2 linked regions of the Danio rerio genome follow. The protein of the gene in region 1 purifies or fractionates together with the protein of each later gene. This does not show direct contact. Links are inferred from orthologs where the notes say so. Each region holds a gene or a part of one and is shown on either strand. Other genes may lie near its edges.

Region 1 (4,567 bases):
AAATTATAAAACTCAACTGTTTAACTCTAGGGGACTTGTTAAATGAGGTTATTAAAAAAAAAGTGAATTTCCTTAAAGACCACTAAAATGAATATTAACTATATTTCACACAGAAGCCAGGGAATTTGCAAGCAAGTTTAAAAAAAAACTGAGGAGAAAGAAAATGAAGTCAACAATTTACAGTACAACCCTTTAAGTTTAGCTTGTTACTGTAATGCTTAAGAGTTCAACACCCTGCACTCGCACCACTACTCACTGAGCATGTACAATCATTGGAGTGACTCCAGTCAGTGCAGAATTATGATGCATGTCAACATAGATTAGAGACCAAGTTACATTAAAAAAATAATAATAAAAAAAACTACTAGTTTTTAAAGATGCTACTGGAAAGGAATAGGTCTTTAAGGATGACATATAGTCATGTTGTGTTTTTGAGAAATACCATGTTCTACACTTTAACATCCACTTATAAATTATAAAAGTTAGGAAATTACTAATCAATCAATAGCATTTTATACATCAAATGAGTAACAACCAAACTTCTATAATGGATATGTCAATGGAGGTTAAATTTTGTCACTTAACATTCAGCAGCAGAATACTTTTTGATAGCATATTTTTCACATGAAAAATCCCTGCTAAAAGAGTAATTCAAATGACTTCACAAGATGAAATTAATCAAAACTTCACTATATGATAAACCTTTGGATCCATGTTTTTTTTTTGTATAAATCATATACATTTATACATGTTCAGATGATCTTAGTAGCATTGTTTAACAGGTGCAACGTCATACCACGGTGATATGCACATAACACTTGATATTATCTTTTTCCTTCTAAATATTATTTTTTTTTGCATAAAAACAATATCTTATAAAGACAATGTATCTATCAAGGAGGAAAACAAGGTAAATATCAGAGAAGGGGTCTAATGTGGTAAAACATGTACATAAACTAAACTTTGATATCACTTTAAAGGGAGAGTTTACCCAGGAATGACAATTCTGTTACCATTTTCTAACCTTTTACTTGTTACAAAACAGTTAAAGTTTTTTTTTTGTTGTTCTTTTGAACATAAAATAAGTTATATTGGAGAAGAATGGTGGACACATGTATCAATTGACTACTAAGTCAATGGTTACAAACTTTCAACATTCTTCAATAGAGGTAAAGTTGGTTTTATATTCGGACATTCAGACATTTACCTTGATAATGTGATTTCAAAAAAGTATTATTTGCCAATTTTTAAGAGGGAAATCATATTAATAGCCAATGACTATTAAAGTACAACATTGCTCACAGATAACTAAATGGTGCTAATGTTGTTTTCATGTTCTTGCATGCTAATTCAGACCAATATATTAAAAGTAGCACAGTTAAACAATATAGGGGCCGTTAAATGAATGAATGTGCGAATTTAAATCTAACTTTACCTCAATCATTCTCCAGAATATCTTTTGCGGTTAATAGATAGATGAATTTAATAGATAATTTCAATGATTACAGTAACATTATTGTCATTTTGTTGTAAACTATCCCTTTAACAAACGGGGCATATAAAAACAAATAAACAAACATATCACCTACAATGAAATGGTAAGTTTTGCGACTACATTTCTAAATGGTCATGTTTTGTTTTTGACAAAAACCATGGTGAAATGTAGCGTAATGTCATGCTCATTCCAGTCAGGCTAAGATGCTAACATGATCATGTCGTGTTTTTAACACATTCTGTTTCATGTTAATTTCTTGACTTACAATAATATAAACATTAATAGTAATTACCAGAGTAATAACAACAGGAAATAATCTTTTGTTAACGTTAACCATGACAACATCACACACAACTCACACGTTGTTGTATCAGAGATGGTTTTGAAAGCTAACGTACAGCAGTACTGAGCTCTTCAGTCCCATCAAGAATAAGCGAATGTCATGATACATACCAGAAAGCAGAGCTGAGGCCAGTTGTGAATAAAGTACCTATAGGTGTATATGGAGTAGGGCTCAGATAAGTCTTTCGTTATGAGTCGGATGATATCGGGCATCTGGAGCTCGGACTCGTATCTCACGTATCGGATAGACTCGTCGTGCTCCTCCAGCGCCAGTCTCGACATCTCCGCAACCGGAGCGCTGTCAGCCGCTGCCTGCTCAACTCCAGCGGCCTGCGGGCCCGGGCCTGATTCTGATCCAGCCCCGTCCAGCACCAGCGTCGCCGCATCCGCCGCACCAGTCCTACTACTTACATCGTTCTCTGGTCGGCAAGAGCTGCTCTCCGTGATCGCCATGCCGTCCGTGCAGTTTAGTCCGTTGTTCGGCGGCGGTTGACTCTGGGATATTAGATCACTACATCTTTTATTTCGCGTGCAGTTGTTGTTTTCCGTGTGATCGCCCTCCGGTTCGCCGTGGTGATCGGAAGCGGCGTTTTGATTGTCTGACGGCCGGTGTTGCTGGACGTGATTCTGGAGGTGAGTGTGGTTGCACTGGACCCCGTTCAGCTGGGCTGTGTGAAACTGGGCGGCTGTTGCGTTGGGATGCACGTTGTTCTGGTTGGATTTGGCTATCGTTTTATGCTCGCTGGCGTGCTGGTGTCCCGGGCCGGGGCCGATGATGTCCCGTCCGTCATCTTTACCCAGTAAGGTGCACCCGTCCACGGGCAGCGGTGTGATCTCGCTCGGGGATGAAGGCAGTGCGTTAGGCCCAGGCGGCACTTCAGCCATTCCACTGCATACAGTTGCTATGTTGACAGAAAAACGGGGTGGGAATCAGCCTCTCTCAGCCAACGGCGACGAAGACAGGCGTCCGTCCGGCTGCTGGTACCTGATAAATTTAGGAATCACTCAAAGTTCGTGGACTATCTCGTGTCTGTTCCTGCCATTACTCAATTCACTCCACACTGGCCTATTATCTGCCGTAAAGCAGGGTGGATGATTTACGACACTATGTCGGCGCTTCGGCGTAAAGGTTGCCGGGAAATTGAGTTGTTGATGTATCACACTGTACTTCCTGGATGACTTTGGGGTTTAGTGGGTTACGTTAGGGTTTCACGGCGCACGATGCATTTTTTATTTAGTATATTAATACGTCGTTCTCATGAATAAATTCTTAACAACAATTTTCATTAAATGTCACGTGAAATATCAAATATCACTGAATGTATCATAATTCATGTATCACGTATATTCGATTGAGATGAACATGGATACGTATTGCACCTGCTGCTTAACTGAAAGTTTAAATGGGATGTTAGATTTACATTTGTTAAAGCAAAGACAAAATGCATGCTGTAAATATTCTGTTAGTTTTATTAAAGTTGCAAATTGTATTTTTATCCATCCGGATACATGATTTTTTTAAGAGGAATAGATATTTTAGACAAGGAGATGGATATAAGTCATACAGTTTGCAACTGTTTGTTAGTTAAACGTTTTTGTATGTTTGTTTTGTTCATTGAGTATTGGTTTAATTTATTAGAAGGTCATATGTAGGCTAATTATGCTTAATTAAGCTGTCTTAGTAAATGTTGTTATATGACAGCCTTTCTGTTGTTAATCATAATAAAGTTTTCTTTAAAATTTTCTGGCCAATGCTATTTTGACGTCACAAGATCTGTCCTTGTAACTGGTTTAGAAACAACAGCTGACTGCACAAATATATGTAGGCTACATTTTAATTACATCCAAACAAGTAATACTTTTTAAAGAAACGTGGAATTTAATTAACTTAAAAACCATTTAAACCATGATTTCAAACCATGACCTTCGCAAAGTCACTTGGCTACAGACAGTTCTCATTTGCTTTTATCGTTTTAGATGACAATGCTAAATACGTTTTCCAAGAAGAGCCACTAGATGGACCCAGACATCCAATTATGTGAGACGTTTCCCCGGGGTCCCACCGTGGGTGTTCATGGATGTACCATGAAGTACATCCATGTGGAGTATCAAAACCAAATGCAGGCCCGTAGCCAAAGGCTTCGGGTTGTTCGAAAGACCCACCTCTCACTGGCAACTGTCCAAAATTTGTCTCATAGATGTCCTCATTTGTACTATTTTGACTGCTATGCCATCATAAATAATAGTGAAAATAACCCATCGAAAATGGCTTTAAAACCAAGTGGAATCCTTGGCTGTTGTTTCAGTGTGACTTCAGCTAATCAGTTTTGATTAATACAAAGTGCTAACTATCATTCCAAAATGCAGCTGTGCAAGAGAACACGATTTGACGTAAGTGAAGTCATCTTTCTCTGCTGTATTATTTTTAAATAGCATTTAGCAAGTAACTTTTGTTTTAAATCTGGGACCTACTGAAAAAAAAAAAAAAAACTGACCAGTAAAAAGGTGTGAGGCACCAAAAGCGTCCCATATTAAAATAATTTAAATATTAATTTGGCTAGGCCTAATGTTGTTATCCATGAATATTCAATTGTACTTTTTTTTTTCAAGAGAGGCTAGAAAAATTGCGAAGCTCTATATTATTATTAGGCTACTATTATTATTATGTTTTAATTTTTATTATTCAGATGGCTAAATTCTGAATGGGGACAGTTAAATGGGCTAGTTTAT
Region 2 (4,518 bases), on another chromosome or scaffold:
GCGGCGCCCACGGGACAGCTGCGGGAATGCAGACCTCTAGTTTGCAGTTCACTATCCAGAGGTCTGCAAATGTGGTTGGGTTTTCTGTATTGTGTTATATTAAAAATCATATGGTGAATTTTAAAATATATATTATTAATAAACATGATTTAAACTTTTGCATTATTTCCCCAGATTATATGCATCAGCCCTCACTGCGTGTCTGACGGTGGACTACTGGAGTTCATCACAGGCTCGACGAGAATGCAGAACTTTGCACTACACTTGCTCTCCTTTCTAGATCCTTCCAGCGGGTTTACAAGGATGAAGCTGTCGGCATCTTTTTACACAGCATTCACAATTTAACACATTAAAGACATGATGGTGTGGTACCCACATAAGCGTTGGCCAACTTACTGAAAAATAATTTTAAATACTTTTAAATGGGTCAGATGATATATTTTCCTTTCAGTATACACACACTCACACAGATACTTATACATATATAAAGAGTAAAAATGCTGGGTATTAACACTGCTTATGATTTTGTGCTATATAAATAAAAATCGACCTTGGGTTGCATTTAGAATTTGAACTTGAATTAGGGTTGAAGTTTATTTAATCATAATGCAGATTAGATCTGTTGATCAAATCTTTGTAAATATTTTATACTGTAACAACTATACTTGTCTTTTTATGGATTGTAGCCTAAATGGGATCCGATACAGATAACCTTATACCCAATGAAAAAATGACAAAAAGACATATTTAAAAACTTATTTTAATTGTTTTAATATTTGATGTTGTTTTTATATTAATACAGAAGCTCTGAAAACTATTTGTAAAATAAAAAAGATTTTCCAGTACCTTGTTGACATGTTTCTGTATTATTCTAGACGTTCTGTGTTATTTGTGTTTTGTATTCACTTGTCTACTATTAAAAATAGTGTCAATGTGGCATAACTGTGTTAAATGCTCATTAGTTTCTGTTACTGGTAAGTATTAATACTTATAGATGATCAATACTAGCTTTGCTGTTGCCAGATAAGATTTTGTTATCTTACATATCTCTCTGTAAGCCAACACTGGCCTCACCATAAACCTGCTCTGTTCTCCCTTACAATAGAGTTAAATTACACTTCTCAGACTGCTGTTCTGTCTGCTGGTCTGTCCGCAGGCTTATAATTGTATGGCTGTGGTCTGTCATTTGTGTGAGTCTCTCAGAATGTCTTATTGCGGCAACCAAACGCGCACCACGATCAGTTGTCTTCATAGTGTGTTTTTTTTTTTTTTTTTGTCTTCATAGTGTTTATATGCGCAAACTCCCTGATCAGACGTCACTTCTGGTCTGGCGATTCAAATGCAGAAGTAAATTTCCGTGACTTAAAACGACTCCAAATGGCTTAATAATAAACTTTAACGTTTATTTTAAAGAAAATCTAATTCTTACTTCACTCTTACACACATTGTCTCACTGGGGTGTCTAACCTACAATATGCTCTTTAAAATAGCCAGTGAAAAGCTACAATGTCAGAGCAAAAAGTCATTTGTGCACCAATGAAGACGGGACTCTCCACAGACTCTCTCCATCTGAACCATAAAAAACAGTGGTTACATTTAATTTGCAAAACTAATGTTTAGTAAATTGATTCTGAATCAGGGGTTAAGGTGTCTGTGTAATGCATAAACAATGATTACATAAAGAACAATTAGATGGCTGACTTTCTAAACAGATTAGGTTTTCTGTAAAGATATCATGCTTATACTAGGCTGTATTTGCATTATAGTGTTTTCAGTTAAAACCGGTTAAAACAATTAAGTTCTACTATAGAGTAACCCCAAATACAGCATCTTTGACCTGTAAAAGATCAATTTGAAAATGTTGAACTAATTTTGGTTAGAAAACGCTATGGCGGAGTTTCAGTGTAGACTGATTAAAACACAGACTTTTGAATATGGAGTCAGTGCCTATCCATCAAGCTCCTCCTATGAGACTATTACACTTATTAAAATCTTATTTTTATGATGCTAAATCAAGTTCAAAGAATCTGCAGAAAATACATCCTGTGCGTTTTCTTTGCTTTAAAATGCTTTTATTTTGAATCCACAAAGCAATGGCATAGCGTTTTCAAGTCATGTTGTCCTCCTTGAAAATGTAATATATATTTTTATGTAACCGTGACTGGCCATCTCACATGGACTGAACATGCCAAATCATTGCTAACTTAACAACACAGTCAAACAAACATACATATAGGAACGACAAGTTACACTGCTCAGTTTAAAAAGTCAGTAAGCAAGTGTAAACAACGTAATAATTTAATGTCTATTTGCAAAGAACAACGCATCACAACAGCAGAAGATGAGAAAAGGGGACTAACGTTAGTGCACAAACTTAAAGCATTTAAAAGGTCAAACAAAAACGTTTTTAATCATTCTTAAAGAGTGGCAGTGTTAACTATTAAACTTAACTGCAGGGTATTTGGGGGCAAAAATTCGCATGCATGCTTGAATAGAGACATTTTTCAATTTAAATCTTATAAAAAAAAGCACTCCTTTAGTTGTTGTGCGTTTATATGTCGGGCTCATCAAGCATCTTCTGGTTAGGAACATGCATATAAACAAACTCGCTTATGGCTACAGGGACATCGGTATGCATTGTTCCGAATAAAACAATATTAAGATTAAGATATTTACACAAGTCGCTTTTATAACACTACTTCATCGTTGTCGTTTCTCATTGCGCATTGATCGGATCATATTGTATACACATAAAGTCATACACAACGCCATTCGACACTTTAGAAGTTCACATATAAGAAATAACGCTGTGTGATTAAGGTAGGTGCAGGTCTATTTAGCCATACCTCATTTTGCATTTGTGTGCTGTTCTCTTCCCTCTGTGATGCCATTAGAGCCTCCGGACTTCTTCTTCTTCTTTTTCCTGGTGTTTATTGGCGGTTCGCATTCTTATCAGAGCATTACCGCCACCTACTGTGGGTTATGGATCAGAGACACTAGCTGCGTCCTAAATGGCACACTATACACTATGCACTCATGCACTATGTACTTATGCACTTACACACTCAACAGGGTAGTATATGTATGTAGTGTTGTCCCAAATGGCACACTAATGTTTTTTTTTTTACTAAGCGGGAAATTCAAACCGTTTCCCTGATGCCAAATCATTGAAGTAAACGGCCGAATTATCAAATAATACCTGCCGTGAGGTTTGCCGCAATCACTATCGGGAGGCGCTATAATCACTCTCGTAAAAGAATTTTGCTTTCACCATCCAAATTAAATAAAGTTATTCAACATGTGCGTCCGATAGCTCCGCCCCTTCCGCTACGTAAGCAAACCTGCGGTCGTTGAGTGCGTGAAGTGTCCATCATTACACACTTCATTTTAGCGCTGAATGAGTGCATCATCCGGGTAATTAAAGTGCACTTATTATTATTAGAGTTTTCAGTGTGAACGCACTACTTACACTGTTTATACTACAAAATGGCGTAGAATAGTGCATAAGTATGCGATTTGGGACGCAGCTTCTCTTAAGCTGCGTCCCAAATGGCACACTATACACTATGCACTCATGCACTATGTACTTATATGCACTTACACACTCAACAGGATAGTATATGTATGTAGTGTCGTCCCAAATGGCACACTTATGTATTTTTACTAAGCGGAAATTCAAACCGTTTCCCTGATGACGTTTGACTGTTGCCAAATCAGTGAAATAAACGACTGAATTATCAAGTAATACCTGCCGTGAGTATTGCTGCATTCACCATCGGGAGGCGCTATAATCACTCTCGTAGGAGAATTTTGCTTTCACCATCCAAAATAAATAAAGTTGTTCAACATGTGCGTCCGATCGCTCCGCCCCTTCCGCTAAGTAAGCAAACCTGCGGTCGTTGAGTGCGTGAAGTGTCCATCATTCCACACTTCATTTTAGCGGCTGAATGAGTGCATCATCCGGGTAATTAAAGTACACTACTAACACTATTTATACTACAAAATGGTGTAAAATAGTGCATAAGTATGCGATTTGGGACGCAGCTTTAGAGCCTCCGGACCATGTGCATACTTTCTCCTTCTTAAACAGTTTGCTTTACGGTAGATACCAGGCTTCTACGTACATTACCGCCACCTATCGCTAAAATGGACCATTGACCAGGCTTCTACGTACATTACCGCCACCTATCGTTAAAATGGACCATTGACCAATCTGAATTAAAAAAAATAAAATAAATAACGGTATACCAATCAAACAGAGAATATAGTCAAGTGGTGGTCGCTGCAGAGCCATTTGGGTGAGCTGAGCTCCAGCGAAGGGGAGCTTGAGCTCCACCTTTTTAGCACTTCTTCTTCGAGTGATGACACTGGGGGTAGGGTTAGGGGTTGGGTTGGTGTACGCATTAAAACAGCTTACAGGAGGCAGAGCTAGAGCTCATGCTCCCCCTCGCTGGAGCTCAGCTCTGCTCAAATGGCTCTGCAGCTACAAACCGTATAGAGATTTTTCCTTTTCCATTT

The links.
Region 2: the proteins of naa30 (region 1) and naa38 purify together in Homo sapiens (co-immunoprecipitation; 3 studies listed by BioGRID and IntAct, with this or other methods). This does not show direct contact. The link is inferred for Danio rerio from reciprocal best matches to the Homo sapiens genes NAA30 and NAA38.

What each region holds. Positions count from the first base shown.
Region 1 is NC_133192.1:49,448,601-49,453,167, reverse strand, and holds the start of naa30 (N-alpha-acetyltransferase 30), read right to left. Parts: upstream 2,916-4,567; 5' UTR 2,723-2,915; coding exon 1,949-2,722; exon of another isoform or gene 1,757-1,948; intron 1-1,756. UniProt on the Homo sapiens protein: Catalytic subunit of the N-terminal acetyltransferase C (NatC) complex. Catalyzes acetylation of the N-terminal methionine residues of peptides beginning with Met-Leu-Ala and Met-Leu-Gly.
Region 2 is NC_133180.1:59,192,476-59,196,993, reverse strand, and holds the start of naa38 (N-alpha-acetyltransferase 38, NatC auxiliary subunit), read right to left. Parts: upstream 2,928-4,518; 5' UTR 2,892-2,927; coding exon 2,847-2,891; intron 235-2,846; exon of another isoform or gene 175-234; intron 1-174.